Notamacropus eugenii: one gene and its partners. The protein of the gene in region 3 interacts with the protein of the main gene of each other region in a pairwise test. Links are inferred from orthologs where the notes say so. Each region holds a gene or a part of one and is shown on either strand. Other genes may lie near its edges.

Evidence for each region.
Region 1: the proteins of SAT1 (region 3) and CASP7 interact in binary tests that used the Homo sapiens proteins (3 or more experiments, as listed by UniProt). The two-hybrid records come from large-scale screens. The link is inferred for Notamacropus eugenii from reciprocal best matches to the Homo sapiens genes SAT1 and CASP7.
Region 2: the proteins of SAT1 (region 3) and HOXB9 interact in binary tests that used the Homo sapiens proteins (3 or more experiments, as listed by UniProt). The two-hybrid records come from large-scale screens. The link is inferred for Notamacropus eugenii from reciprocal best matches to the Homo sapiens genes SAT1 and HOXB9.
Region 4: the proteins of SAT1 (region 3) and NIF3L1 interact in binary tests that used the Homo sapiens proteins (3 or more experiments, as listed by UniProt). The two-hybrid records come from large-scale screens. The link is inferred for Notamacropus eugenii from reciprocal best matches to the Homo sapiens genes SAT1 and NIF3L1.

Annotation. Positions count from the first base shown.
Region 1 is NC_092872.1:192,055,022-192,062,815, reverse strand, and holds the start of CASP7 (caspase-7), read right to left. Parts: upstream 3,001-7,794; 5' UTR 2,479-3,000; intron 1-2,478. UniProt on the Homo sapiens protein: Thiol protease involved in different programmed cell death processes, such as apoptosis, pyroptosis or granzyme-mediated programmed cell death, by proteolytically cleaving target proteins.
Region 2 is NC_092873.1:352,395,165-352,403,131, reverse strand, and holds the start of HOXB9 (homeobox protein Hox-B9), read right to left. Parts: upstream 3,014-7,967; 5' UTR 2,918-3,013; coding exon 2,407-2,917; intron 1-2,406. UniProt on the Homo sapiens protein: Sequence-specific transcription factor which is part of a developmental regulatory system that provides cells with specific positional identities on the anterior-posterior axis.
Region 3 is NC_092876.1:453,304,838-453,311,862, forward strand, and holds the start of SAT1 (diamine acetyltransferase 1), read right to left. Parts: upstream 3,016-7,025; 5' UTR 2,599-3,015; coding exon 2,533-2,598; intron 1,920-2,532; coding exon 1,868-1,919; intron 1,776-1,867; coding exon 1,692-1,775; intron 92-1,691; coding exon 1-91. UniProt on the Homo sapiens protein: Enzyme which catalyzes the acetylation of polyamines. Substrate specificity: norspermidine = spermidine >> spermine > N(1)-acetylspermine. This highly regulated enzyme allows a fine attenuation of the intracellular concentration of polyamines.
Region 4 is NC_092877.1:297,045,904-297,053,022, reverse strand, and holds the start of NIF3L1 (NIF3-like protein 1), read right to left. Parts: upstream 3,005-7,119; 5' UTR 2,870-3,004; exon of another isoform or gene 2,474-2,869; intron 1,916-2,473; exon of another isoform or gene 1,884-1,915; intron 1-1,883. Other genes in the region: PPIL3 (peptidyl-prolyl cis-trans isomerase-like 3), read left to right, coding at 5,722-5,724. UniProt on the Homo sapiens protein: May function as a transcriptional corepressor through its interaction with COPS2, negatively regulating the expression of genes involved in neuronal differentiation.

The DNA of each region.
Region 1 (7,794 bases), on a different chromosome or scaffold from region 3:
ATGAATTAGCAATTAATTTTAGGGAATAACTGGTGTTTAATCAATAAGTTAAAAGGGGATTTTGGAGACAAGACCTGGGATTAAGTCATGGCTCTATGAATTACTGGCTGGGTGACTCTGGGCATGTGCCTTCACTTCCAAGTCTCAGTTTCCCCTTCTGTAGAATAAAGATACTTGCCCTAATTACTTCACACAGTTGTCATGAGGAAAGTACTAGAATGATGATTTTGCTATATAAAGATAAGTTATTACTGTTTAGATTAGACAAGCTACAATACTTCTAAGCTTTATGATTTCATCTGTGTGGGACTCCACCTATACATATTTCAGTCTCATCTTATTTCCAACTCCACCTGGCTTCGCACCTTGCAACAGCCAAAAAGATATCCTGGGAAAGGAGAACCTTCTTACATAAGCTTTCCTGAATATGGTGCCTATGAACAGAAACAAAGCTATCACTAGAACCCATGCCTAAAGCCTGCCTACCGTGAAAGAATATACCATACCACTCCAGTATCTTTGCCAAGAAAACCCCCATGGACAGTATTAAAATGCTAAAAGATACAATAGCAGGATGGAGTCACAAAGAGTCGGATACCACTGAACAACAAATATATGTGCATATACACCTACATATATACTGTATTTACTTATACATGCAGAGGAAACATGGTACAGTGGAGTAGGCCTCACAAATAGGAAGACCTACATTTTAAGTCCTGCTCTTGATCCACACAGGCTGTGTGACCACAGGGAAAGGATTTAACTTCTCATGCCCTGAGCTAATTTCTAAGACTGTAAATTTCAGAGAAGATGCCAGCCTGCATTGGTAGAGACTCCTTAGAGGGGAATTCTCTGTACAGTAATATCACTGGTCTAGTACCCTACATTCCAGTTGTCCAACCCCCTTGTCCATACCAGTCAGGTAAGTTTCTTGAAGGGTAGCGGTAGGGGGCTATTTTTTTTTTTTTGGTAGTCTCTGTATCCACAGCACATACCTCTGTGCTTGGCCTAATACAAAGCAGATGCTTAACAAATGTTCCTTTGTTGATTGTTTAAGGTCAAAGTACTATAGATTTAGTTATAAGGGATCTCAGAGGTCATGGAGTCCAACCTCCTCATTTTACAGATGGAGAACTGAGGCCCAAGGAGTGGGCCCAGTGACTTGGCCAAAGTCACACTTGAATTACATGATAGACTGTTGTAAGTTGTTTTTCAGTCGCATCTGATTCTTTGTGACCCCATTTGGGATTTTCTTGGGACAGATACTGCAGTGACTTGCCATTTCCTTCTCCAGCTCATTTTACAGATGAGGAAACTGAGGCAAATAGGGTCAAGTGACTTGCCCAGGGTCATACTGCTAGTAAGTGTCTCAGGCCAAATTTGAACTCAAGTCTTCTAAACTCCAGGCTCAGCACTCTATCTAGCTGCCCCTCCCTGGGTAGAGCCAGGATTCCCACCCAGGTCCTTCAACTCCAAATCCAAAATTCTTTCCATGTCTAAAATTCAGCTCTAATAATCCTATGGTCCTCTGAGTCTCAGTTTTCTTATCTGTCATACAGTGAAACTAAATCATTTGTAAAGGCTGAGTGTAAGGAGCTCTATTACATATTGTTTGGGTGAATTTAGGAGAGTCAATTCCATGATGGGCCTGAATTTCTTCATTTGTAAAAAATAAGCAGGCTGGTCTCCCCAGATGCCCAAGCTACTTCCCAGTTCTGAATCTTTATCCTATGATCTCTCATGTTCTTTCTGTTTCAAGTTTCTAAGATCTCTTCCTGTCCTGACTAGGTAAGTCGACTATCAGTTAGAATTCTGCTCTGACACTATCTGCATGGCCAATCACTGTAATCTTTGTTACAGTTCATGTTCCTCTTCTGTAAAGTGGGGATAATAATGGCACCTACCACCCAGGACTGTGGTGAGGCTCAAATGAAAGGTTTGTAAAACATTCTGCAAACCTTCAAAGAGCTCTGTGAATATCTACTATCTATTATTATATGTAAAAGGATAAGAATATCACCCATCTCCCAGGGTTATAGTGAGGCTCTAATTAACATATGTAAAGCGCTTTGCAAGCCTTAAAATACGGCCATAAAGGCTAGCTATGATTATATATACTATGAAACTTAGCAAAAGTGTATCAAGATGTATCTCCGTGAAAGAAAGCCTTCCCTGGTAGGGATACAGTGTCAATTTCATCCCAGCCCATACCCTCCAGGAGGTTACAAAAATGCCACCGTCACCAACAGGGACTAACTCCATCAGACAGCCAAAGGCCAGGCAGTCCCAGGAAAGCCGCGGAAGGCTATCGTGGAGAAAAGGGGGGGTGCTACGTTAGAAGCGGGGCTGGGGACAGAGGCCCGGTGGCCCCAGGATTGGGAGGTCAGCGAGGCAGGGCAGGCTGCCAGGCGGGAAGCCCATACAGTAGAGAAAAGAGACAGTGTGGGGGGAGGGAGGGAGGGCTGCTGGGGTTACCGTGAGCACCGGGGATCCTGGAGCGGGTGGAGGGAGACGCTGCAAACACACGGCTCTGCGGCGCCAGCCGGGCCGGGCTACACGCTGCGGGCTGGGCTACACACTGCGGGCTACGCTGCGGGCCGGGCTACACGCTGCGGGCCGGGCTACACACTCACTGGGGGCTGGGTTACACTGCGCTCAGGGCGCCGAGACGAGAAAGAGCAGAGGGGCGGAGCCTAGGCCGGCCTGGAGGCGGACCCGGCTCCCCCGGGGCCCAAAGGGACCTTGGAAGGGCGGAGCGAGCACTGCCCCGGAGACCGCCCACATCCCGTGGGCGGGGAGGGACCGGCCCGGCCCGCTACCGAGATGTTCCGGGTTCTGGGCCCCGGCCGCCTGGAGATGTCTTTGCGTTGGACTTAGCCAGGTTTTCTTCCCTGCCTCGTTCAATTCCTGGAAGAGGCGAGGCTCCCCGGCTCGCTCCTGGATTTCCCACGTTAGGAGTCCAAAGTCTGGTGCTCCTTGACTTTGAAAGACTGTTAAGAACTGGATCCCCAGTCCTCCTGGCTGCGGCTTTTAGTTCCTAATCCAGCTTCTATTTCCCGCCCCCCATCCCCCAAGCCAGCAACTCCATCCAGTACCTGTTTATTTTTTAAAATTATTTGATTTGTTTTCAGTTTTCTCCAATCATCTCTTAGTTTTATCTTAGTTTATATCTTAGTTTTTCCCTCTCCCTTCCCCTCCTTCCCCCTCCCTCTCTACTTCCTCGCAAAGACAAGAGGGCGTGCAGTCTTATATAGGTTCTAGACATAGATTTTTATTAAATGCATTTTTACCTTAGTCATGTTGCACAGAAGAACGAAAATGAATGGGAGACACCATAAAAAACACAACACAAGAGAAAATGGTCCACTTCGTTTTGGGATCCAATTCCATAGTTCTTTCTCTGAATGTGGAAGGCATTTTGCTTCAAGGGTCCCTTGGGAATTTTTTAGGTCCTTGCTTTGCTGTGAAGGACTAAGTCTATCAGAAAAATTCCTCACACACTGTGGTTGTTGCTGCGTACAAAGTTCTCCTGGTTCTGCTCCTTTCATTCAGCATCAGTTCACATAAGTCCTTCCAGGCCTCTCTGAAGTCTTCCTACTCCTCATTTCTTATAGCACAATAGTATTCCATTATATTCATATACCACAACTTGTTCAGCCATTCTCCAGTTGATGGGCATCTCCTTGATTTCCAGTTTTCCAGTACCTGTTTAAAAATGAAGGAGACCCCTACTTAGCCCTCCAGGGGCGTGGAACCTTAGAAAAACTTAGAATAAGTTTTAGAATATGAGAAAGTGCAAAAAATCGAGGACTTTAAATTCAGGAAAAGAAAGCTCTAATTAACTGGAGGGATCCTGGAAAGATTGGAGGAAGACCTCTCTAAAGACAGTTTGTCAACAAGCATCTCTTAAGAGCTCACTATATACCTGGTACTGTATTAAGTGCAGGGAGCTGGAGGAAGACAAAACTCTGTCCCAAGAAACTTAGATTCTAATGGGGAAGAAACAGTGGGGAAAAAAAAGATAGGGGACATAAACAGATCAAAGGGATTTGTATCTTGGAGAAAATCAAGCTTAATCTCCTCATTTTAAAGACAAACTGGCCCAGACAGGATGGGACTCATTCAGAGTGGTGCTGGCAGTACCCCTTCTCTCTTGATGAATTCTGTGCTTTTTGTACCTGAATTGACAGCAGAGATGAGAGTGAGGAAGGCCATTGCCTTCATGAAAGACCATGTGATCACTAGCATAGAGGGTGGAAAGGCAGGTGAGATAGAGTGGTGAAAGATGCAATTTGGCTTAACTGGAGTATAAGAAGTTGAGATACAAAGTTGCAAAAGTAACTTGGAGGAAGATTGTGGAAGACCTTAAAAACCAGGCTAAAAAGGCATTGCTCGTCCTTTCTTTGTCCTCTCTGCCTGGTCAAAATAGTCGGTCTAATACAAGCATTTACTTTGAGATGTAATTGATGGATAACAGAACTCCTAGGAGTATTTACATTTTTATTGGGGGGAGGGGTGCTCCTCATCCAGAGACCCCTTATTCCCCATAATATGACAGCTCTTCTCCTTGTCCCATAAGGTTCGTATACACTCCCTTTTCTATCAGCAACTGGTGCTCAGACCTTTCTACCCTAATCTGACAGCATTCTAGGCAATGGGCTATTTTTCAACCATTGCCATATTCCACATGTCTTCCCACCTTTACTCCTACAAAAGGGCCTGGAGAAAAAAGTCAAGAAGATTGGGGGTCACCTCTGCCAATTCTTGGGGTTGGATACATGAAATCTCATATTTGCTTGTTAAATATTCATTCAACATCCATTTATTTTGCATCTGTTGTGTATAATGCACATATGTAGCACAAGGCCACAGACTCCATCTTGATTTAATTAAGAGTTGATGGATTCTGATATGCAGTGTCCCAAAGTCTTAGGTCAGTTTTACATGGTGTTGTGGAAAGAGTGCTAAACTTAAGAGTCTGGATCTGCACTCTAAATCTGTCTCTACTACTTACTAAAACTATGTGACTGTGGGTAAGTTATTGGCTCTCTCTGGGTCTCCGTGTCCTGAGCTGTACATTTTGGGGCTGGGATGGTTGAAAATTATGGCTCCTCAGGTTCTAGATTGTCCTAAAGGCCTACTCCTTCAGGAGCATGCTAAGAGACAGCTCAAATTGACTCCCACTGATTGTCAAATCCAAACGCACTTTTCAATCCTCATTCTCTTTGGCATCTTTGCAGCCCTTGACACTTTTGATGACTCCTCCTTGATAGTCTTTTCTTTCTAGGTGTTTGGGACTCTCTCCTGGTTTTCCTTCCATCTATTTGATCATTCCTTCTCTGTCTCTTTTGCTGGATCCTCCTCCAGAGCATGCCCTCTAACTGTAGTTATCCCTCTGCATTCCATCCTGAGTTCTTTTCTCCCTCTAAACTAGTTATCATCTCCCATAGATTTAATTACCATCTCTTTGCTGCTGATTTGAAGGTCTGCCTATCCTGCCCAAAATTCTCTGCTGACTTCCTGTCTTGAATCTCCAACTGCTTTCCTGACATCTCCAATTCGATGTCCAGTTGGCATCTTAAATTCAACGTGTCCAAAACAGAATTTATTATCTTTCCTTTTAAACCCTCCCTTCCTTCCTTATTACTGTAGAGGGTAACATCATCCTCCCAATTCTGCAGGCTCACAATTATCCTGAACTTCTCACTATCTCTCACCCCTACATCTAATCTGTTGCTAGGGCCTACTGATTTCACCTTTGTAACATCTCCTGAACACGTTTTTAAAAAATCAGGTTGAATAATATAAAGGTACAACAGAATGAAGCTATACCATGATCCCAACTTCCTGAATCTACTTCCCCAAGCTAATAGTTGTCAGTTAAAAAATTTCACCAGTCTCTTTCCATTCTCATTCCAACCACCACTTTTATCCATGTACACATTACTCCTCTCACAGACTTCCCTTCCAAACAGCTCTCAGTGACACAACAAAACATATTGGCTGGAAGCTGGGGTGACCTTGGACTTGGACTTGTCACTTCAACTTTATAGTCTCCTCATCTGTAAAATGAGAGAGTTGAACTGAAAGGTCTCTACCATCTCTGAGCTTTCCAGATCTAAAATTCCATGATGTATGATCTAGAAAGAATTAGAGTGAAAAGACCTCTGAATTGAAAAAAACCTATCAAGAAATCTCTAACTATTAAACATTTGCTCAGGACTCTCTGTGCAACTCCATCCTTCCCAACAGATCCTTGAAAAAGCTAACAGATTGAGGGATAGGGTCCTTCCAATAAGAAGGCTAAGAGCCCATCAGATACAACTCCAGCCATCCACGGACAGTCATTTTGTATGCGACTGGTCTCTGCTTTACTATGTACACTCCTACCTGGAACACTGTATCAACACCCTCTTCTGATACTAATAGAAGGATGAGAAGAATCCCTACTGAACTTCTTAAGTTCTAGAAGTTAAAGGTCACTTTTAGTAGTTGGTGTGGTGGGAAATATATTGAGTATTAGTAGAGTAAGTCATGTTCATAGTTGACTGAATGGCAGGATCCAAAGAGTGTTTATCAATGGTTCCATACCAGTCAGCAAAAATTGTTCTCATTGCCATGCTACTTGTCTCTAATGCTTGTTTCTGTTTTATTTGATATTTTTTGTTAAAGATTTGGATGAAGATCTAGAAGGTATGCTTGTCAAATGCATAGTCAATGAAAACCTGAGATGGACTGATAAATGACAGAATTAAGATTAAAATTGATTTTGATAGGCTTAAAAGAGAGACCCAAATTAATGAAGATAAAGTTTATAAGTTCAAAGTTTAGATTCAAAACATCAATACAAATGCAAGATGGAGAAAATCTGGCAATGATATAGGTATTTTGGTTGAATGGAAGTTTAGTATGAACTAACAGTGTGATGTGGTTACTAAAAAAAAGCCCAAAATATCCTAATTAAATCTTAGAATTCATTAATTAACATTATTTTTTTAAAGGTAATATTTCCACTCTTTTCTGTTTTGGTTAGACTGCATCTATAGTGTTGTTTTTAGTTCAGGGTACTCCAGTTTAAAGGGGGCATTGACAAAGAGCGTATATAAACAAAGGTGACTAAAATAAAAAAGAATCTATAAATCTTAGTATATAAAAATGTTTGAATAAATTGAGAAGCTTACCTTGAAAAGAGAAGTCTTGGTGGTGATGGTGGTGCAGGGGAACCAAGTATGTGAAATGTAAATTGTGGCTACACATTGATTAGAGAGATGCAAATCAAAACAACTCTGAGGTACCACATCACACCTATCAGACTGGCTAACATGACCAAACAGGAAGCTGATAAATGTTGAATAAGATGTGGGAGAGTTGGAACACTTATTCATTGTTGGTGGAGCTGTGAACTGATCCAACCATTCTGGAGAGTAATTTGGAATTATGCCCAATGGGCTACAAAAATGTGCATATCCTGTGACCCAGCAATATCTCTTCTAGGACTGTATCCCAAAGAGATCATAAAAATGGGAAAGGGTACCACATGTACAAAAAAATTTATAGCAGCTCTCTTTGTGGTGACCAAGAACTGGAAATTGAGGGGATACCCTTCAACTGAGGAATGGCTGAACAAGTTGTGGTATACGAATATAATGGAATACTATTGTGCTATAAGAAATGATGAACAGGAAGACTTCAGAGAGGCTTGGAAGGACTTATATGAACTGATGCTGACCAAAGGAGCAGAACAAGGAGAACTTTGTGCACAGCAACAACTACAGTGTGTGGGGAATTTTT
Region 2 (7,967 bases), on a different chromosome or scaffold from region 3:
CTTTGCCAGTGGCTCTGAAATAACTTATGATTGCAATATTCTCACCTTGGCCTCTCTAGGCCTTGGAGTTTGGTTAAGTCAAGGTTCAGAGATAATATGCAGGGAAATTGAGGGAGGTGGGGCGGGGAGCAAGAGTCCTGATCTCAAGTCTCCCCCCCCCCCCACACACACACATACACATCTACTTTGCCCAATACCCATGCAGTGAGCAAAGGTGGGGAAAGGGGGCAGAAGGGGGGGGGGGAGAAGAAACAAATAAAAACTAAGAGACAACGCTCTTTTCTGAGTCCTTCTCCCTATGATTCTTTTCAAATTCTTGAAATAAATGCTGAACCAATGGCGAACAACAGCCATCCTGGGTTGATTTCCTCTCCCAAAATGGAATGCCCTGAATATTTTAAAATAATCCGGTTAATCTGACGCTATAAGTACCGTGTCTCACCAATTTGCTGCGCTATTTCCTTAATGTGATTGACTGGGTTGGGACATGGAGCAACATTAAATATTAAAGAGGAAGAAAGCTGTTAATAATTGATGCTGGTGAAGTTGCTCCCTCGCTTTAAAGGGATTTCAAGGCCGAGTGTGAGGCTTTGGGGTGTCCTCCTAAAATACAAACTCTTTCCCTTTTGGTCGGCCCAGTTCGAGGGGCACATTTGTTCAGTAGAGAGTAGAGAGGGGAGTCGTCTTTTCCCGAACAGCTGACCCCAGCTCCAACCCTGATGAGCTACCTCCTGCGCCCCCACCCTTATTGCCAGCCCTCTCCAGACTACTCTACTCAGGGTAGAAAAACCATGGGGAATCAGACAGAGGGGATCCAGGACTGTAAATTCGGCCCCAATGGAAGCGGAGAGGGAGAGAGGGAGAGGGAGACGGAGAGGGAGAGGGAGAGAGGAGGAGGAGGAGGAGGAGGAGAGAGAGAGAGAGAGAGAGAGAGAGAGAGAGAGAGAGAGAGAGAGAGAGAGAGAGAGAGAGAGAGAACCTTGTCACGTCTCGTCTCGGCTTTGTTTATTGTTTAGAGGCATGGTTTTTTGCCCAAGTACCCCCTACTTTACTTCTCCTACTCTATCTCAAAAAACGGGGACAGACAATACCAGGGAACTTGCTACTTCTGAAAGACTGGAGAATCTGGAAAGGGGCGTTCTTGAAAGGTTTGAGGGAGGAGGGGAAGGGAGAGCTGTGCAGAACAAGTTCCATCCAGAAAAGTTAAGCTCCTCTTTAGCCCCGTTACATCCAGTCAACTCCATCAGCTCTCCAATAAAACTTTGGGAGTTCGACCTATGTACCAGGAAAAATGTCCAGGGAAGTTCAGAGCAGATCTCTGAGGTGTCAAAGCGTTCCAACTAAGAAGTAAAGATACAGTCCACAGAGGCTACTGGGCGGGGGCACCCCTGAGGGAGAAGTTTGGGGTTGGCTAAGATGAATCATCCTCAGCTGAGAAGAAAGCACAGACGAAGTGGGACTGCCTAGAGCTCAGAGAGACCAAGGAAAAAAATACTGAGAAGGCGCAAGGCTTCCTTTCTAACTTCTGGTCCTTCCATGCTTGCCGAGCCCGTGCCCACATTAAACTCCCGACCCGGAGGGGGAGCTGGGGAGGCGGAGCTGGAAAGGCTGGGACGAGGCGAGGGCGGAAGTCTTGAGTACTATTACTACGTGGTTGTTTTTGTCCCTTTCCTTCATCTTTCCCTCCCTTCCTCCCCCAAACAGGGGACGGAAGCGGCGCGTGATCCAGTTTGAACAATTCACCAAGCTGTTGCATCTCAAATAAAACCCTAATGAGGCGCCCCCTCCCTCCCTCCAGTCCTTCCTCTCTTTGCTGTTTGTTTGTTTTTACTGTTTGCGCGTGGCTCAAAAATATTCATTTCACCGACAGTGAATTTAATCTAAGAAGCGCGAGCACTCTAGCTGTCCCCAAACCTCTTCCCATTCACACACTTTCACAGTCAGAGGGAATTTAGCAGGTTAAGGCTCGGGACTAGGGTTCTCTTCTAAGTTTCCCAGGTTCCGCTTACGCCCTGTTTTGCTCCCCCTGATCCCTGACTCTCTCCTTGTCAATTCAGTGGCCCTCTTCCCTCCAACTTCGCTCCAATCCATCCAGCAGCTCCCTGTCTTCGAGCACGGGAGAGAAAGAGAACTCGGGAAACTGGTCCAGCTTGTCTTTATTGCCTGGACAAAGCTCCCTCTAGAATTTTAAGGGGACTGCCACATCTACCCCTTTTCCCGCCTCCTGGGGTAGTTGGCCTGCCCCACTTCCGAGTATCCCGCCCTCCTTCCTTCTTACTCTCAGCCTGACACCGCAGTAACTTTACATTGTCCGGGGTTTATTACCTCCCTCCCATCTCCCCACCTCTTCCCTCCCACCCTTAGCTCTCTAGTTGCCTTGGCATTTCCTCACTTTTTATAACTTACTTTGATCAGGCCTCTCTTTGTCTTCGCTTCCTTCGCAAAGTTTATTGTCTCCGTAGCCGGGTCTTTGATTAGATAGGATAGCTTCCCTTCCGGAAGAAGTTTCTAAATTGTACTCCGGGGTGCCCTGCTTAAGGAGCTCCCCTGAGCCCCCCAGCAGAGGTTCGGCTTTCACTAGGGGCTGCCCGGGCCCCCCCTCACTCCTGGGCACCGGCTCCAACCAGGTGCGGAGATACCTGCTCTCCGAAGGCGGGACGCTCTGGTGTTGGATATACGGGTGGTAGACGGAAGGGAGGCTCCCCGACGAGTGAGGGCTCAGAGGCGTCCACGAGGCGCTGAAGACCGGAGCTTTGGGCTGGAAACTACAGGAGGGGAATTCGAGATGCTCCGCGTGGCCGGCTTGGCGAGGACTCGTGTATTGGCCGGAAGGAAACTTGGCTGGAGGCGCGTCTTCACTCTCGTGACTTATGATCGAGTCAACATAATAACTGCTAAGCGTCCCAGAAATGGACATTCTCAGACATTATACAGGGAGCGTTTACAGGGAAGGGAAGCACTAGCGCGGAGGCGCCCTATATCGGGAGAGGTGGCTACAGGACAGGTCTGAGGGTTTGGACGCGACCCCCCAACCCCCCACCCTCCCACCCCCACCCCCTGCTCAACTTCTCAGCCAACAAAGTACAGTTGAGCAGCCGGGCTCGGAGCTTCTTGCAAAATGATTGGTCAAAGTTTTTCCGACTGCCTGATAAAGCGTCAGCTTCGACGTAAATCAATCGAGCGAGGGGGCTGCGCTCCCGCTGTCATCCGCGCTGCATTCCATATCAAGGATGAATTGTTTTATGCAATGTGGCAACACGTCAGGGCTCCAGCGACCACGTAACCTCAGCCCAAGCCGCCGGCCGCCCGGGGTCCCCCCCGTTTGGAGGAAGGGGGGTTAACTCTCAACATGGGCGGGGGTGGGGGAGCGGACGGAAAGAGCTGTGTGCTTCATCGAAGGGACTCTGACTGCTCAGCACTCTCCCCTGGCGGGTCGCAAAGGGAAAGGGCCCAGTCTGGAGAGCAGCCTGAGAGATTCTAAGGAATAATTAAAAAATAGATAGTTTCCGCTCCTTCACACTCCCACCCGTCACTCTCCCACCCCTGTAAAGGTCTCCTTTCCCTTTCCCAAGCTACTCAAATATGAATTTGTTCTTGTTTAAAAGCCGACTCGTTTAAGGTGAGAAACTGGGTGAGCTAATGAAAGAGGAGATAGACAGAGAGAAACAGACCCAAAGTAAGGGGTTTGAGGAGAAATAAGCGGCCTGACTTTTAAAATTTTTACTGCGCTTATTTGGGACCGAGCGGGATTGATAGCCCTAAGCGCTGGGCCTCCCTTGTCTCCCTAATAATGGAGGAAACCCCCCAAAACAAACAAGAACAATGGAAGAGAAGGGGGGACCAGTTTAGCAACCCAGCCCCCGTCCCACCCACCCCCCTCCTTGAAATCACAGCCTATCCATAGTTTAAAGGATTGGTAAAATACAGCGAAAGGGAGTAAACGGAACGGGAAACTTACGCCGGGCAAAGAGTTTAATTAAAACTTAACCCGAGGTACCTCTGATTTTTCCCTAGAGAGGCGGCGGGTGGGTGCTGGAAGGGAATGCAGGGATAACTTCCCTGTGATTTGTACCTCTCTGTGCCCCCAGCCCACAAAGTTGATCCAATCCAATCCCCTCATGTGAAGAGTTATTGATCAGTACTTTAAGAGTCACTCCAGTTGGAGAACGAAAGGACAACGGATAGGGGTCCCCAATGTGAGTTGCACCTTTGGGTTGGATAGTAGCTATTTACTCTTGAATAGGTCCTCTCCCCCTCCTTTCTCCCTGAATCGGCTTCTCTAAGGCAGGCTACCACATCTCCTCCAGTAAAGGAAATCCTGAGGCAGCCGAGAATAGGTTGAAGAAATGGCCTCCCACCTCCCTGGCAGCCTAGCCGGCGCTTCTGAAGAGCGCGTTTAATTGATATAAATTTCGCGGGCACTTGAGAGACCCGATCAACACTTTGGTTCGTCTCGCATCTCACCAAGCTTCCTCTCCTCCTCCTTCCAGGAAAACCCTCGGTGGTCTGCTTCTTAGTTGGGGAGCCCCAAGAAGTTTGGGATCTGCTCTAAAAAAGTATAATGTGGAGGAAAGGGAGAAGTAGAGGGGAAACTTTATTGGAATGTGATTACTTTGGGCCAGGGTATTGTTGTTGTTTTTTCAGAGTTGCTGTTGTGGGGTGTTTGAAAAGTGAGGTGCTGAAAGTCTCGGTGGCCTGCGTAAGAAATGTCTTGAAAAGCTTAATCCCTCTGCGGCAAGAGGAGTCTTGAGGAGGACGCGGGGATTAGAGCAAGCTGCCTCCTGTTCCATATCTCTCTGGTAGCCCTGTTACCTAAGGTCCCCTTAACAAAAGGATATAGGGTCATTCCAACTTATGATTTCTCGATTTTTTGCTGCCTTCAGGTCATCTGGGGGGGGGGCGACTCTGCCCTCCCTCCTCCCTCCCTCCCTTTCCTTTCCAAATGAAGCCATCTCGTGTCATTACTTGTGAAATACGAGGGCGTAGCGTCATATTTCTTTCCATGATGGCGATTCCAAAATGATTTTTTAAAGATCAATCCTGGCATCGAGTACTGCCCCACTATCCCCACCCCCATCTCCTCCTCCTTCTCGAACCTAGCTCTCCCCCGGGCGACAGCACAATGGACGGATGGCCTAAGAACATGCGAGTCCGCCGAATTTTTCCCTAGGCTCCTTCGGGAAAAGGACCCCGGTGTGATTTGCCCCTATCTGGCTCAGGGATGCTTGGCAGAGACAAGAAAAGATGAAGTAAGGCTGGAGCAGAGAGTCAGAGAGGGAGAACACCGACCAAAGAGCGGTCCTGAATCAATATTAAACTTAAACACCTGTTCTCTATTTGCGAGACTGATGGAGTCTGCTGTCGGCTTACCTGTAATAAATATATTACCGAGGAAAAAAATCAGTCCTCCCCTACCATAAATAACAGCGTTACGAACCGTGGCAGGGCTGAGTATATAATTTTCTATACTATATAAATTAGAGCCCAAACAGAGGTGGAGGCTGGAGGCTGGAATATACAACATACATACATACACACATATGCGTTATATATGTATGTGTATATATGTATGTGGTACATATATACATACTATATATACATATACATACTATGTGTGTGTGTGTATATGCATATATGTACACACACTCCCAAAGCCGAGTTTGTCTGCTGGGCTATTTCTTCCTTAGCCCTTCTGTTTTCCCCTGCTGGTAGCCTCTATTCTTCCGCCTTCAGGACGCCAGAGACCCGGTAGCCTATTTCAATTGGCAAAGCTCATTCAAAAAGAAAGAAAGAAAGAAAGAAATATAGGAAGGACTGCGAAAAAAGGAGGCTGTCATTTAAAGTTTAACAGGAGCAGAAGAAAGAGGACTGTAAGGTTTAGAATCCTCTTCTTACTTCCAGAGAAATTGGGGCAAACCCTAAAGTCCCAAGAGATAAAGGTTTCTTTTTGACTTCGGTGTCTGGATTGGAGTGATCAGTGTGGGTTAGAAGGACTCTTTCCCTGGGATTCTAGAGAAATTCTGCGTGGGATCCCTAACAGAGGAAGGTGATTATGAGGGGCTGCAGCTTCTCTCCCTCTCTCCCCCTTCTTTCGGGGATGTGGAGCCTTCACTTCAGGTGTGTGTGTGTGTGTGTGTGTGTGTGTGTGTGTGTGTGTGAGTGAAATTTTCTCCCATTGAAGGTTTGGGACTGAATTCACCCTGAAGAGCCTTTGAGGGGAAAAAGAATCCGTGTGTGTGTGTGTGTGTGTGTGTGTGTGTGTGTGTGTGTGTGTGTGTAATTTTTCTCCCATTGAAGGTTTGGGACTGAATCCACCCTGAAGAGCCTTTGAGGGGAAAAGGAATCCATGGCAGAGCCTCATGGAAACCTTCCTTTTCCAAATGGGGATTCCTGTGTTCCTGAAGTCCTCCACGACTTTCATTTTTATTGAGGAGTGGGTGCAGACAAAAAAAGGTGACATATGAATCCAGAAAACTCCTCAAAGACAGAAAATGCTGCATTTCAAATGTCTATGCTAGCTACCTTGTCTTCTGGGAAAGAGAATGGGCTCTAAGACTGAGGGACCCTGGATGCTGAGTAGAAATCCTATTTCTATTTCAATGAGATCAGTTATAATTGTCATTATTGCTACTGTTAAATGAGCCTTTGGAAGCCCAGAACTGGGCTCTGAAAGGCTCTTTCTAGAGAGCAACTTGAGTGCTGAATTATCCTGCCCTGAGAAGGTGATCATCCCTTCCTTCCCCTCTCCCCTCACCAACACAGCAAAAAGAAAAAAAATCCTAAAGAGTCAAATATCTTTTATTTTATAGGCAGAAGACCCGTCTTCTCTCTTAACCTCTTGCTATTTTCTGCATAGAATCTGGGTTTGCAATCGAGGGGAAGGACCCTTATGGAAACCAGAACATCTTCCCATTTGATTCTCTCCATCCACTTAAGGGCCCATGGGCTGGAATTCTTGAGAAGAATGGAGTCTGAGACACTGGGCAAGGGACCTCGGGTGAGTTCATATTACAATCTCTGGCTGAGTGCGGGAAGATTCTCTTGTTGACATCCAGGGAGAGAAAGAGAGACAGTGAGAGACAGAATGACCAAAAGACAAAAATGGAAGGAAATAAAGAAAGAAGGAACAAAAGGTGGGAAAGAAAGGAAATAAAGGAAGATAGAAAGGAAAAAGGAAGAAAGGAAAAAAGGAAGGAAAAGAAGCAAGGAAGGAAACAACAAACTAACAAAAATGCAAATATATCATATATTTTATGTGGGTCACATCAATAAGTATTTATCTAGTGCCTACTACTTCTGTAAGGCACTGTGTTAAAATACATACATTATATATAATGCATGAGTATATAATAAATAAGTGTGTATGCTTATGATAGATTCTAGGTCTGATTCTGACTCTCTAATATTTAATTGTGTATCTATGCCTCTATGAAATATGTACATGCAAATAATAGAGTGCAACTATAGAACAGATAAATAATGACTTGTGTATGTATAATGAAACTTTTATGTTTGTATATAATTTGTCCCCCAATATTCTATTGTATAGATATGTTATAGATAAAATTACATGTGCAAGTGTATATACCCTTCACGTAGTAGATGCTTAATAAAGTTTTCGGGACTGGGTAGCTAAATGTGTCTAGCCTCTGAACTTCCATGTAAATAAAAAATGTATTCTCTATATGTGCAAATAGATGCTAATTTATATTTACAATTTGTAAAGTACTGAGAGGGCTCCTACAGAACACAGAAAAATCAGAAACCAGTCTCACTACTTTATAGTCTGGACGTGGTTGCAAGTCCCAAATACTGATTTACACATACATATGTATTATGTACAAATGTATTGTGTATCTATGTATATCCATCTTGGCTCTCAATAAAATTCAGATCCACAGACCTTCTTTCCTAAGTGAATGAAATGGGTGTATGAGACTGCGGGTTTTGTGGTATTTCTCTTCTGT
Region 3 (7,025 bases):
CTCATCACAAAGAAGTCTTCAAGATATAACAGTTTCCCAATCCATGGGTCATATGTAAAGTAATACATAGCGAAGCCAACAATGCTGTATCCTGGAACAGAGGATCACAGAATTTTAGTAAAAAAGAACAGGAGAAAAAGTCCATAGCACTTGTAGCCACACACTCAGAATGTTTACAGGTTTTAGAATTTTACATGCATGGATCTGAAAACTAAGCTGCTATCACAGTCAGTCTCTGCATGCAGCTATCATTATGCTAGAACAGTACGATCCATTGTTAGGCTACCCTGCTGTTCTGAGTTTGCAAGAAGCGCACATTAGAGCTGGAGGCAGGAGAAGAATTCTGACATCTCTGAATAACCGCTTTGTCTATGTGTGACCCACTCTGCAATCTCCTGGACCCCTCACAGAAACTCCAACAGTTTTAATGGCTCGAGAGCTGAGCTGCTATGACCTTTATGTAAATACAGACATTATTCCCAACCTACTGCGTTACTGGTATGTCCACTTGTGAATATAAATCGAGTTTACACGGCAGTTCAGAATATTATTAAGTACAAGGAGTTCATGAACTCTACTTCCTTGAGGTTAGAACACCATGCCAGTAGCTTCAGCTAATTCCAGAAGCTTTTTTTTTTTTTTTCCAATTTACTCTCCCCAGTTTTTCAGGGCACAAGAGGCAGATAAACAGTGCTAAGTGACCTCCTTGTACCTTGGATCAGCAAGCACTTCACACTTAATCCTCTGCCAGGTGGGTGAAAGTGCTGCCTATTTCTTCCCTTTACTTTAAGGAACAGATTTCTGGGGGAAAAAAAAACCCAACACAGAACCCCCACCAATAAAAAAAAAAAAAAACCAAACCTCCTAACCTGAAACAGCCTCCACCCCCGCCTTCCTTAGAGAGTTTCCCTTTTTATCTGAGTTTCCCATCCAGTAAACAATGAGCCAGCAACTTCAAACAGCTGACTTAACTTTTGGAATTTGCCAATAGTCCCAAAAGGCGTACTAGTCAGTGGTCAAATTAAACGTTTTAGCCACTTCACCCTGGTTTGTAAACACAGCCAGGAAGAGATCCTAATGGAATTTCTGATCTACCGTGTGTTTGGTTTGGTTTGGTTTGGTTTTTACACTGTGTGGGAAGAGGACTTGTCCCTCTAGGCCTTACCTCATTTATCATGATCATCTACTTTATTGAGTAACGGATCTTTTAGTTACCTCCCCGCCCATCCATGTACACAGAAGGGCCATGTACATGGCGAAGCTAGAGACTGTAACCTGAAGATTGGGACAAATTAAAGAAAAAATGTGATTCAACACGATTACAGAAAAAGGTTATGTTAGGGTCAAACAAGAACTATTTTATGAAACTGAATTACATCAAATGACATCATACCCAGTTTTCCGGGGAATACGTAGGGCATTTTGCTGACAAACACCTCTTTTAACTCACCCTATTTTTAGAATGGCACTACATCCACTTTTTTTGGTTTTCTAGTTTCAACATCGGATTGCTTTATTTCTGGCCACCTTTCCCAAAAGCACACTCTCAACCTTCTGCATTAGCCAACCGTTCTAAGCAAAAACTAGACATTATATCAACATCCTGTCTCTTTCTGATTCCCTACTGGGGTGGGGGTGGGGAGAAAGAAGGGCAAGAGAAAGAACAGGACAGGTGGGGCAAAGTTAGTTACCTTGGGGTGTCCAATGCTCTTTGGGCACTTCTGCCACTAGACACTGGTAGAAAGGGTGCTCTCCAAACCCATCTTCAAGCAGATCTATAAGAAAGGCCAACAGGGACAGAAAATGGCTAATGGCTATGGTGCCGGTCACCAAGGCTATTAGACAAACCTCCTTTCAAATGAGTTACCTTTTTCAGTTAGCACTACTTGTTCTTCCATTTCTTCGTATTTTGCTAGTTCCTGGTAAGAGCAGATAAAAAGGGAAAGAAGAGAGACAAAACAACACATAAGAACCCGGAGTCCTTTTATCTCCAAGAGGCAGGGTTATTGTCTCAGCACCTGCAGCGCCAGGCTCAGGGCCAAGAGCTCTGCTCAGGGAGCGGGAGAAGTCTGGGCCAAGTTCCTGGTCCACTCTAAACACGCGCAACGGACCTGAAACTAAGTGAGGGGGGAAAATGCGAACTCCCAGATTTCCGCCAGAAGGGGCAGGCAGAAAATCCAGCCGCCTGCTGGTTACCGGCGTGGGCGGAGCCGTGCACCGGCCGCACAGACCATCACCCGGGCGGTGAGCGGACAGGGCGCAGGTTCTGCTAAGTTTGTCCCTGTCCTTGTCACTCCCTTGGTCTGGATTTCCGACCCCGGACCTTAGCACGGTCCCTGCCACGCAGAATCTCTCTCTTTCTTTCCTTCTTCTCCGTCTCTCTCTTTTCCTACGGGACTCTGGCCAGCTCAGAAAGTTTCCCTGCAGGGATGAGGGGAGCCCCGGGTGTCTAGGGTCCTCTAGGTCCTCTCCCACCCTAACCCCCAAGAAGACGGCCCCAGGCGGGCTCCGCGGGCGCGGCGGCCGGGCTACCTTGATCAGCCGGAGGATGTCACTGCAGTCGGCGGCCGTGGCGGGGCGGATCACGAAATCAGCCATTTTCGTCTCTTGCTTTTCTTCCCTTTGCGGACCAAGCCCCTGTACTTGAACAGCAGGAGGAGGTGGTTCCTCATTCGTCTCCCGGGAGCTTCCTCTTCCTAGTCAGGCTGGCAGCATGACCCGGGGCCGGCGGCGGCGAACGACCAGGGGGCTCTTCCCTAGGTCCGCGGAGATCGGAGCAGGTGTGGCCCCGCCGGCCCTCGCAGCCTCTGTTTATGGGGGAGCCGGCCCCGCCTCCGAGCTCCCCTCGGCCAATGGAACGAAGCCCGGCCCCGGCGAGGGCGGGTCCGCTCGCTCCCGGTCCGGCCCGGCCGGCCCAGCTCCTCCCGCACCGCCCTTCCCGGAGCAGGTGGAGCCCTCTTTCCCGGCCGGGAGGCCCGACCCGCCCTGAGCCTTCGCGGGAGGCGATGCGGAGGCGCCGCCTGCTGTTCTTCGACGCTTAGCTATGGCTTGGATTCGAGCAGAATTTTTTTAAAAAATTAAACTTTCTTTTTATGAGGAACCCAGATTTCATTTCTTCCATCTCCCTGATCCATTGAGGAAAAACAAACCAAACCTTGTTTTCTTTTATTTGGGGCATTAACTTTTTTTTTAAATTTGAATTTCGAATTATGTTCCTCGATTCCCCCTCCTCCACCCATTGGGAAGGCAAGACATGCGATGTCGGTTAGACGTGTAAAATCACGCAAAGCTTACTTTCCACAGTAGCCATGTCGTGAAAAACCGAGAAAAACAGTGAACAAATATGCGTCCGTCTGCCCCCAGCCCTCATCGGCTCTCTCTGGACCCGGGAGTATTTCTCCCCATAAATCCTAAAACACCTTGTACCCAACATGCGTATTCAAGAAAAACAAAATTCCAGCCCTGGCTGAAAATGGTCTCGTTGTGCCCCTTGAATGTGTTCCCTCCGAGCTGGGGGACGGAGACCTTGTTTCAGCATCAGTTCTCTGGCGTCTGGTCCATCTTTGTGCTGATGAGAGTTCTTAAGGCTTTCCAAGTTGTTTGTCTCTATAACGTTGTTACTTCTGGTTCTGCTTTCTGCGTTCTATATCCTCTTCCCCTCATGGACCGCTAGAGTGAAACTTCTCTCTCGTTAGGGTGGACAGGGAGGAAGGGGAGAGAAGACAGGAAAAAGGAGACAGGCTGCTTTTGAACTGTAGGTATTTGTTTCAAAGTATAGATAGGACAGTACAATTAGAGAGAGAAGGAACGAATTACCTCCTTTTATTTGTTAGAAACACCCCTGACTCTAATAAAGTATCAAGGAAAATGTATTGCAGCAGAGTTTGGAGGAATTGAACACTTTGGCTGCCATCCTCTTTTCAGGAGGAGGAGGGAGCGTTGGATACAGCACCAGGATGAGCTGTATGCCGCTACTCGAAGACAGATCCTCCCACCAGGAGATGGATTGGTCCATCCTCCATTAGGTCACCCTCTCTCTACATTCCCATTGTGTAACGCCCCTTGGTATGATCCTCCCTCCCAAACATGCTCTAACATAGGATCCATGATCAGAAAATGGAGGGATAATTTTATGTGGGATGTCTGCTTATATGCATGAGGTTCATTAAGCAAGCGCAGTGAAGACAAGCCTTCTCTAGGCAACTCTAGGTCATTTTTCTTGTCTAGTTTCAGATAGCTGTAGATTTGGTTCCTTTATCAAAAATTTTGTCATTTTGTCTGTCTGTCTTTTGACTGGTTGAATCCACCTGCAATCTGTTGGCCTTCTTATTTTCTAACTTATTCTCAATGACTTCGTCAATTAACAATAACTCACTGTGGAAACAACTTTTACTGTCTCTCACATATTACTCTCTTACACTGTGGTATTTTGATGTCCTCTAAACTTAAGCCAGAGGGACCTACATACAACTGACACATTTGGGGCTCTAAGATTTTCTGGGACCAGTGAAAAGTAAAAGACAGTCCCAAACAGTACACTACTATAAAGAAATGTTCTTCCCCTACCTTTCTCATAGGATCATAGATCTAGAATAGCAAGAGATGAACTCAGAGCTCATTTGGTTCAATCCCTTTCCATAACAGTCATCTCATGAGAGTTTATTTCCAAAACATCACCATTTCTTGGAGAAGAAGGATGCTATAGATGAAGATTAAAGTGTAAACAATAAAAAACCGACCTGGACATCTGGAGAGTTCCTTAGACAGTGTAGGTCTAGGATGAATGTGAGATCTGTTAAGCAGTCTCACTAAATAAATGCCTTTACCTTCAGGAGAATATTGTTGAGAGGATTTATGTTTTCTGTACTTGTGTAGGCTTATGAATCTTTAGTGTTTTAAGTATTTTCTCTGGTGGAGACAATAAACCATTGTCTTTTAATTGATATTTGTACAGGGAGTAACTTTTTTGAAATGGACACTTCTACCACCTTGGGGAGACCCTATACATGAACTTTGGTTTTAGAGATTTCACTGAAGTTAATCCACATCAAAGATGAGAAAGAGAACAGAAGCCTGACCTCCCTTTCTTTTTTTAGTGTATAGGATCCCTCCCAGCATGAACCTGGTTTGTAGAAATCCAAGGCTGATGCCTTTTGTGGAAGGGGACCACCTGGGTCACTAGTCATAACAAAAAGTGGTCCTTTGCAAAACTGCACATTTCAAGAACCTTACCTAAGTCCATAGTTGGGTCTGGGTATCCAGGAACTAAATGAGCATTTGTCATCAAGGCAAATGAAAATAGGTCCATCACTGAGGTACTCTCCTGAGTACTTCCTGTGTCAATTATGTAAAGGACAATTTAGGGAGGAAAACGATCATCTGAGAAAACAATTGACCCTCCCCATCAAGATCCAACTTCAGTTTGAGAACAGCGGGAATATGAGTTTTAAGGTATATTTTAAATACTGTAGATTAGAACTGCTCAGTGAAGAAGTCAATTGCTAGCTGTCAGGACCTGCACGCCAAAACCACTCCTCTCTTTTCGCTCCTCTGTCAGGACACAGTTTTCCAGACGAAGGCCCAGCAAGCAAGCTGTGCCCTGAGCTTGGCATAGTAACAGTTCTTTGCACTTGCCCTCTGGGAGAATTGGGCTGCAGCTAAACCACAGAACTGTCTCAAACCAGCCCCAGGTGGTCCCTGAGATTGGGCAAGCACCTGCAGGAATTACATTCAGGTCATGAAGCTGCGATGAATGGACTTTTTGTTGGAGGCCAAATTGCCACATTGTTGCTGTTCTACCTCATTGTAGTGGTTACACCTCACTGCTTCCTTCTTTGTCATGCCACCTCTGTATACATCAAGGATTAGCCTCCCTGTCTTGGGCTACCTTGGTCTTAGATCAGGCCCCAGCATGCATGTCTAGTTTCCCTCCTGTGATGGAATACAGAAGGCTTTTTATCTATAACCTCTGTGAGTTCTTTGGTGTTTTGTTTAATTTTTCAGTTGACAGTTGGAGTAAAGCTTTTTTGCTGAAACCTCTGTGGGCTGTTTGAGCATTTATTTTTCAGAGCTGACAAGTTACATGCCTAGCAAAGGGATTTCTGGGTCAAAGATATGAACGTTTCAGTCATTTTCTTAGCCTGATTGTCCGTTGCTTTCCAAAATGGTTGGACAAGGACGGAGTCAAGATGGTGCAGTGAGAATCAGCATTATTGCCTAGTTATCTCAATACATCTTTTCCACAACAACCTAGAAAATGTACTAAACTGAATTCTGATCAAGAAAGTCAAGCAAAGTTACAGTGAATCGCTCCCTCCCCACCCCCTACCCCCCCAGCCAGCTTAGGAAGACAAAAAGGGGGTTCTGCTGACTCTAGGGTGAGGGTTGTCCAGAAGACTGGCATCAGCACCAGAATAAGAGGCAATCATAGTGACAGAAAGAGATCTGGGGGACCCCAGAACTAGTGCTGGGGGCAGGAAAGGCTGCCCATCTGGCAGCATTGTCACCCATTACCCAGTCCCAGGTCACAGATTCAAGGGGAAGAAGAGCAGCCTTTACTAAGCACAGGATACTAGCTGAGTGTTGTTCAGTTGTGTCCAACTGTTCTTGACCTCACTAAGGATTTTCTTGGCAAAGATACTGGAGTGGTTTGTCTTTTCCTTCTCCAACTCATTTTACAGATAAGGAAACCGAGGCACACTGAGTTAAGTGACTTGCCCAGGATCACGCAGCTAGTATCTGAAGTCAGATTTGAACTAAGGAAGATGACTCCAGGCCAAGCACTCTATCCAGTACCCCACCTACCTGCCCACTACTCTGACAGCTTGAGAACTAATGTAATCTCTCAAGAATGTTGTTATTCCTAGGAGCTGAGTTAACACTTACTCCACCTCCTCATAGAACCCTCTATCCTTCAGGATCATTTTACCTTTGTCTTGTGACCCAAATCACAGTCTTGTTTGTGGTTGGGGGCGGGGTGGGGGGGGGGGGTGCGGGTTGAGAAGGGGAGGTCTAAGCAATCAATA
Region 4 (7,119 bases), on a different chromosome or scaffold from region 3:
CTAGTCTCCCCAAATGCTAAAACATTCCCTTCTAAGGTCACCTATCTATTCTTTAAGTATCTTGAAAATAGCCTTTTTTTCTTTTAACATGTCTCCTTTAGAACATAAGTTTGTTAAAGGCAGGGGGACTATTTTGGATTTTCTTTGTATTCCCAGTATATCACAGCACAGTATTGACACATCATAAAGACTTAATAAATGCTTGTTTTAGACATGTTTCATCTGAGCTGGCATCTATGGTACATCTAGTTCCAAGTGCTGAAGCTCAGGAGAGAGACTCATGGCTGTGTATGTACATCTTAGAGTCACTGGCACAGAGGGTAATTAAACTTTTGGTTGCTGATGGAGATCAGTTGAAAACCTAAGAGTCATCCTAGACTCCTCACTATCTTTCCTCGCTGCCACCTCTGCCACCACCTCCCCCCCTTACAAACACATCAATTCTCTTGCTAAGGGTCATCTATTTCACCTTTGCAACATCTGTTGAATACAACCCCCTTCTCTCCTCTGACATTACTAATAATTTGGTACATTTTTATTGCCCCAGATGTGGACTACTGCATGATGGTGGGTCTGCCAGCTTCAAGTTTCTCCTCATTCCAGTCTATCCTCTTCAGCCATTAAAGTGATTTTCCTAAAGTGCAGGTCTGACCACTCTAATGGCTTCCTATTGCCTACAGGACCAAATACAGAATGTTCTGTTTGGCATTCAAATTCCTCCATAATCTGGTCCCCTCCTACCTTTCCAGTCTTCTTACACCTTACTCCCTAACATATGCTTTTCCATCCAGTGACACTGGCCTACTGACTGTTGCATGAATAAGACCCTTCATCTGGAAACTTCCTGTAAAGTTTCTCTGGTTGTCCCCCATGCATGGAATGCTTTCCCTCCTCCACTCTTAACTACTGATTTCCAGGGCTTCCTTTAAATCCCAACTAAAATCCCACCATCTATAGGAAACCTCGAACTCATCTTAATTCTAATGCCTTCCCTCTGTTAATCACTTCCTATTTATTCCATCTACAGCTAGCTTTGTATTTGTTTGCATGCTTTTCCCTCTTTAGACTGTGAGGTCCTTGAGGACAGGGACTGTATTTTGCTTCTTTTTGTATCCTCAGTGTTTAGTACAATGCCTGGCACGAAGTAAGTACTTAATAAGTGTTTACTGATTGATTGAGATACAATGTATCTGTACTTGAAAAGGGTTCAGGACAGAGCCCATCTTAGCAAGATCAATGTCATGAAAATACAAATGAATGAATATATAGGAGAAAAACATGATCAACAGGGAGAGAATGCCGCAGAGGGTGGAAGGATGAGGACTGAGAAAGGCATAAGGTTTTAGTATTATGAGATGATTGTTAACTAGCTTCAGCTGAATATTGAAGTTAGAAGCCAGACTGAAAAGAGTTGAAAAAAAAGAGGAAACGTAAATAGTAGTTGGAGACAACATTCAAGCACTCTAGTTAGAGAGGCAGTTAATTTAATTTAATTCATTCATTCAGGAAGTATTTATTAAATTTTTATTATGAATAAGGGACAATGCTAATTGAGGAAGGAGAGCAGTGATAGGACAAGATATAAAAATGAGTAAGATATTGATGATCACAATTATTACAATATTATGATCACATTATTACAATAATTACAATAATCTAATGTGCACTGGAGAAGGAGGGAATAAGACATTTAGATGTTCAAATATAAGACAAAGTAGAATGTGAAAGCAGTGAAATATAAAAAGCATCGAGTGGAAGAATATAGAAAGCATCAAAAAGTGTCTTTCAGGAAGTTACTTTTCTCCTGAGAGAAAAGCTTAGCGATATGTCCCTGAACACAATAAAAGAACTGCATATTGGTGAAATACCCTCTGATAAATTACCTTGTTTCCTCAGTTGTAATTAATTAATTTCATATCCAATTCCTGACAAGAGGGTAAAGATTCTAAGAATCAGCCATAAAGAACCTTTCCCCTCTTGAGCTATTTGTTAAGTGCTTGATTTCCAGGGACTAAAAACCCCCCCAGCTATTCCTTTTTCTCCTTTAGGAACATGATCTCAAGAGTATGGGTAAACTGATGTTGGGAACTCCCTCCACTGCTGCTGATCTGCAACTTTTTTATAGTATATATATATAGTCTTGTGTGGCCTGGGACGCCGAGATAAAGCGGCTGTTAAATTCAATCATCGTAGCAGTAAGCGCCTAACTTTATGCGAGGCACACGAGCTCAAGCCAGCATGCACTCACTTCACAAATCTTACTCGTTTTATCCACACAACAACCCTGGGATGAGGACGTGATCTGAACTCAGTTCTGCCTCATAAAACAAGTTAGGTGTTAAAGGCAAGGCTTGAACTCGGATCATCCCAAAGCCCACATAAAACCAATAGGGGAAAAAGAACCAAACCGGCATCACTGCGCAACGTCAACAACTTATATTGAATATATACATCTACGCATATCTTAACAAACCAAAAGGCACTTTCGAACCCTCTGAAGCGGTCTCTTCGTCAGGGGCGGCAGCGGCGGCCGCGGTCCCCTGGGCAGTCGTCCCAGCCTTTTGCCTTCCCGGCGTCCTTTCTTAATCAGGTCCGGGCCGAGAAGCCCCTGCCCCTCCCCCCGTAACCTAGGGCAGCTCCTGGCCTCAGTTTAGCCTTTTCTACGAAGAGAAGCTTCGCCTCGAAGGTCTCCTGAAAGTTTTGCAGTTTAGCCTCAGGAGACTAGGAATGGAAGCCTAGGCTGCACCCAAACTCCTACAGGACCCGTCGCCAAGGCCGCAGACAGAACGCGACAGGACAGGAACACCAGACCTGAGCCTCGCTCTCACTACGCCCGCCCACCTGGGAGTCGCTTCCGCTTCCTACTCACGGGCTTCCGCTGCCTTGGGGTCAGAGCGGAAGTGGCCCGTTTCCTTTTGTGCGTCGGCCTTACTCTCTTCCGGTCCGCTCGTTTGGGGTCTAGAATCGCCGTTCGTGTTTGGAAGTGCTGCAGCCGTGAGGTGAACCTAGGGAGGAAGGCTGCGGGTTAGGGACGGAGCGGGGAGAAGAGAGCGGGAGGCCGAGAGGCCTGCGCAGAGGCACAGCGAGGGGAGGAGGAACTTCGTTTTCGTGCCCCTTCCTTCCGCTCGAGACTTGGCCTCTAGTTCCCGCGTTTTAAGCGCGAAGTCTTAGCGTTTGTTCCGTAGCCTGAGGAGGCCGGAGGGAGGTTCCGAGAGCCCGGCTTTCCTGAGTGGGGATGGGTGGGCCACCTCGGGGAGGAGGGCCCTAGGAGAGCGACGACTCCTCCTGCGGTTGGAAGCACTTACTAGTAAGTAGTAACTACCACTACTGTAGCGGAGCACTTGATGGTGGCGCCGTAGTCTCAGCGTCCTGTCACTCTGATTCTCCCGCCTCCATGCCCGTATCGCGGCCGTCAGCACTGCCCGCCTTTCGGCTGGCATTTGAGGACCGAGATGAGTCCTGAGGGCGTGGGCCGGGGCAGCGAGGATTTAGCCAGGCCGCTGTCCCAAGCTTACTCCGTCCTGGGCGCCGGAAGGAGTAGAAACGCATCCCTTTCCTGCCTGTGTTTTACACCGACCTCCGCTGGTGGAACCCTGACCCCCTGGAGTACCAGATATCCCGGAATCATCAAACAAGTAAACAGTGGCTTATCCCAAAAGGACAGTTTGGGAGTGGAAAGGGAAAGAACCGGCGGGGGCGTTCCTTCATTGTAAACAATCACGTGTTTAGGAGTGAGCTGTAGTGGGGATCCAGTCTGGATGAAGGGCTGGTTTTTCTCTACTCCTTTAAAGTCAAACTCGTATTTAGAGAGGTTTTGGTGTATCTGAGGAGCAGTGGTTCTCCCATGTTTTGGTCTCTGGACCCCAAACTGCCTTTAGGTGGGTTATAGCTATTGCTGATATACAGCATTAGAAATTAAAACTGAGAAAATGTTTAAAATATTTCTTGTTTTTAAAGTAATAGTAAAATTATTAGATGTGAATATAATTAACCTTAAAAAATAACTTTTCCAGAACAAGAAAGTATTAGTGAGAAGCATGACCATGTTTTACATTTTTGCATATCCCTTTAGTTTCTGGCTTAATGGAAGGCAGCTGGATCCTTCTGTCTGTTTCTGCATTCAATTTTTTGTAATATGTCTTTTTCAGTTGAAGTATGTGAAGAAAACCCAGTCTCATGCAAATATGTAGTTGGAAAAGGGAGTTTTTTTAAATGGCCTTTCCAGATGTCTTTGATGCTGTACCAAAAGTGGTCACGTGGTAGTTTCTTAAAGGTTAGTGGCAATGAGGAATCTAAAACCACATATGTGACCTTTTGGAACAGTGCTCCGTTAAAATCCATTGGTTGAATCTTATACTTTAAATGGATCTTTTACCCAAGATTTTGTAACACATAAATTGGTCATTTGGAAAGTATTGGTTCAGTAAGGTATGCAGATCTTCTCCATGCTGACCTAGTTCATCATACTATGTAACAAGCTTAAATCATTAATGTCACTGGAGTTAAGAATTGGAAATTTGTCAAGCTCACGGTGGCAGGTGTAAGTACAAATTTCCAGACAAGATATTAACAGTTTTTGCATTTGCAGCTAAACTTTAATTGACAGGTCATGTGGCCTTTGGAAAATACCACTGTATTCTCATGAGTGAATGAGAGGGAAAAAGGCAAATAACATCTTTGTGTTACTATGAAAATAGTTTGATACTGCAAAATCTTTTGAAATGTCATAAGGAACCCCAGGGTCCACAGGACCACATTTGAAATCCTCTGGTATAGTGTATTGAAAGTCAGCCTCTGAAAGACCTGGGTTCAAATCCTGCTGCTGCCATATTGGCTGTGTAACCTTGGGCAAGTCATTTAGCTCCTTGGTGTACCTGGAAACTCTCATACATGGTTTTCTTGGTTTCCTTAAAAATTCAACAGTACCTCCTGCCTGAGGCCTTTCCTGATCCCCATATGTATATATGTTTATACCAGACATCAGATAACTTGGTGGTTAGAGATTTCGCTTCCCTGTGCTGGAAACAGAGAAAGTGCTAACCTGTGTGAATAGAGCTTTTCCTCACCCAGCAATTCCCTAGAGCAGTGAAATAACCGGGCAAGTCCCTTTCCCTGTTCCTACACTTATATGTGCATATGCTATCTTACCCAATAGAATATAAACTTAAGGGCAAGAATTATATCCCCTGAACCTAGCACAGTGCCTAACACATAGTAGGTGCTTAATAAATGCTTTGTGATTAATAAATTGGAGAACAATTATGGATAGAATAGAGGGAATTTCCTCACTTGGAAGCTACTTACACCAAGAGATCACAGACCTGGAACAAAAGAAAATTGATAGGAAAGGAAAGGAAAAGAGATAAAGCAAAATTATTTCCTTTAAAGGGAATCTTTATTAACAGTGGCTTTCTTTGGGGACACATGCACATGTATATGCATAAACACAAACACAACTGGCTCACATAATAAAGCAAATAAAGGAAAGGTGTAGTGGCATTGGCTTTGGAGGATAGCTTTCAAAGCAAGCTCCCTTTCTTGCCTGTGGTCTTTTGTTTGCATCTGCTGCTCTCTCCCTCTAACCATGACCCACTAGAATTGTTGTAAATGTACTGTTTAGATTAAATAGATATATTTGAATAAAATAAGGAATGAAAAGTTTGTAAACTCTTTCCCCTTTTCAGCTTTCTTTCGGACTGCCTGAAATCCTCAAGTAGCAGGATGGTGAGTTTCATAGATTCCTTAAGAAAGTTTTTCTTTCTTTATAACTTTTAACTTAAAAAGTTCAGACGCATTAAAATATTTCTTCTAAAACTAGAACCTTGAAACTAGTAGAATTATAGTCGTTTTAGAGCCTAAGGAGCCTAAATGGAACCTCAGAGGTTATTTAATTCAGCTGGCTTAATCTTACTGGTCTTAGTTTATTTAAACTCTATTTTGTTTTTTTGATAACTGCCTTTGGTATATAATTGAATTGGGCTTTGGAGAAAGACTTCATGCTTTTTAACAGAGCTAGGATAGAAACAGACAAAATGGGCATCTGACTAGGCTTGACACACGAGGAATACTTTTTAATGTTGTTTGCTGTAAATGTGCATATTTTTATTAGAAAATTCCATTCTCCGAGGCATGTAGGCATTTTGTGCAAAGTTAAATTCTGTGTGTTATTTTTAACCTTCTAGCACAGAGTGGTCACAGTTTTTGATCCTCTGGTTATTTCAGAGCATGAGAGTTCCCTTCTATTTTCCCCTATTCTTTAAGCAACATTCATTTTGGCCATTTTTAGGATTTGGCTGTTCTCTTATTTAGGACTTACTTGAATGATTGTGGAAGCTTTGTTTAGCTAGGGGCCCTTTTTGTCATTTCTAGCTCAAAACTTAACACTTTCATCCTTTTGATTTGATTTTGTGACTCTACAGAACTTTAACATGGTCACTGGTCCACTCTTGTGGATAGAGTTTTGAATATCCAGATATTTTCAGCCTACCATGTTCAATGGAATGGCATAATGGTTTATGTATTGCTGATTGTTTTTATAGGGATAAAACTGGCAACTCTAGTTATATATTTTCATGAAAAGTAGATCATTAAAGAGAAGAAAAATGAAAGAATGTGAATGGGGCAAGAATAGAGTGCTTTTAGGCAGTAGCAGTATTTAAACTTTCTATAACTATTTCAATTTTTCCTTAATTTTTTTCCTTTCCAGAATTAAAAAGCTACAAAATATTTATTTATATTTGTAGCAGGTTGGGATAGAAAGAGGGAATTGGAGGGGAAGAAAATATAATAGTAAGTTATAACAATTTTAATTGTGGAGTTTTTGTTTTGGCTCAGATAATTCCAAAGTGGGCCCTGAAGGGGGCGGAAGAATGGTACCTGTATACATGGGGCCCTTCTTCCTCCTGTCTGCTCCTTCAGGCTTTGGGGAAAAGAGGATCAAAAAACATCATGGGGGAGAAGGGAAAGTAGGAAGGTGACTGTGTATTCCCCAAGTAAAACAAATTGGTCAGGAAACATTTATTAAGCACCTATTGTATGTCAGGCACTTTGTTAAGTGAAAAGCTAAAAACAGTCCTGCTCTGAAGAAGCTCATAGTCTGATGGGGAAAGAGATATACAG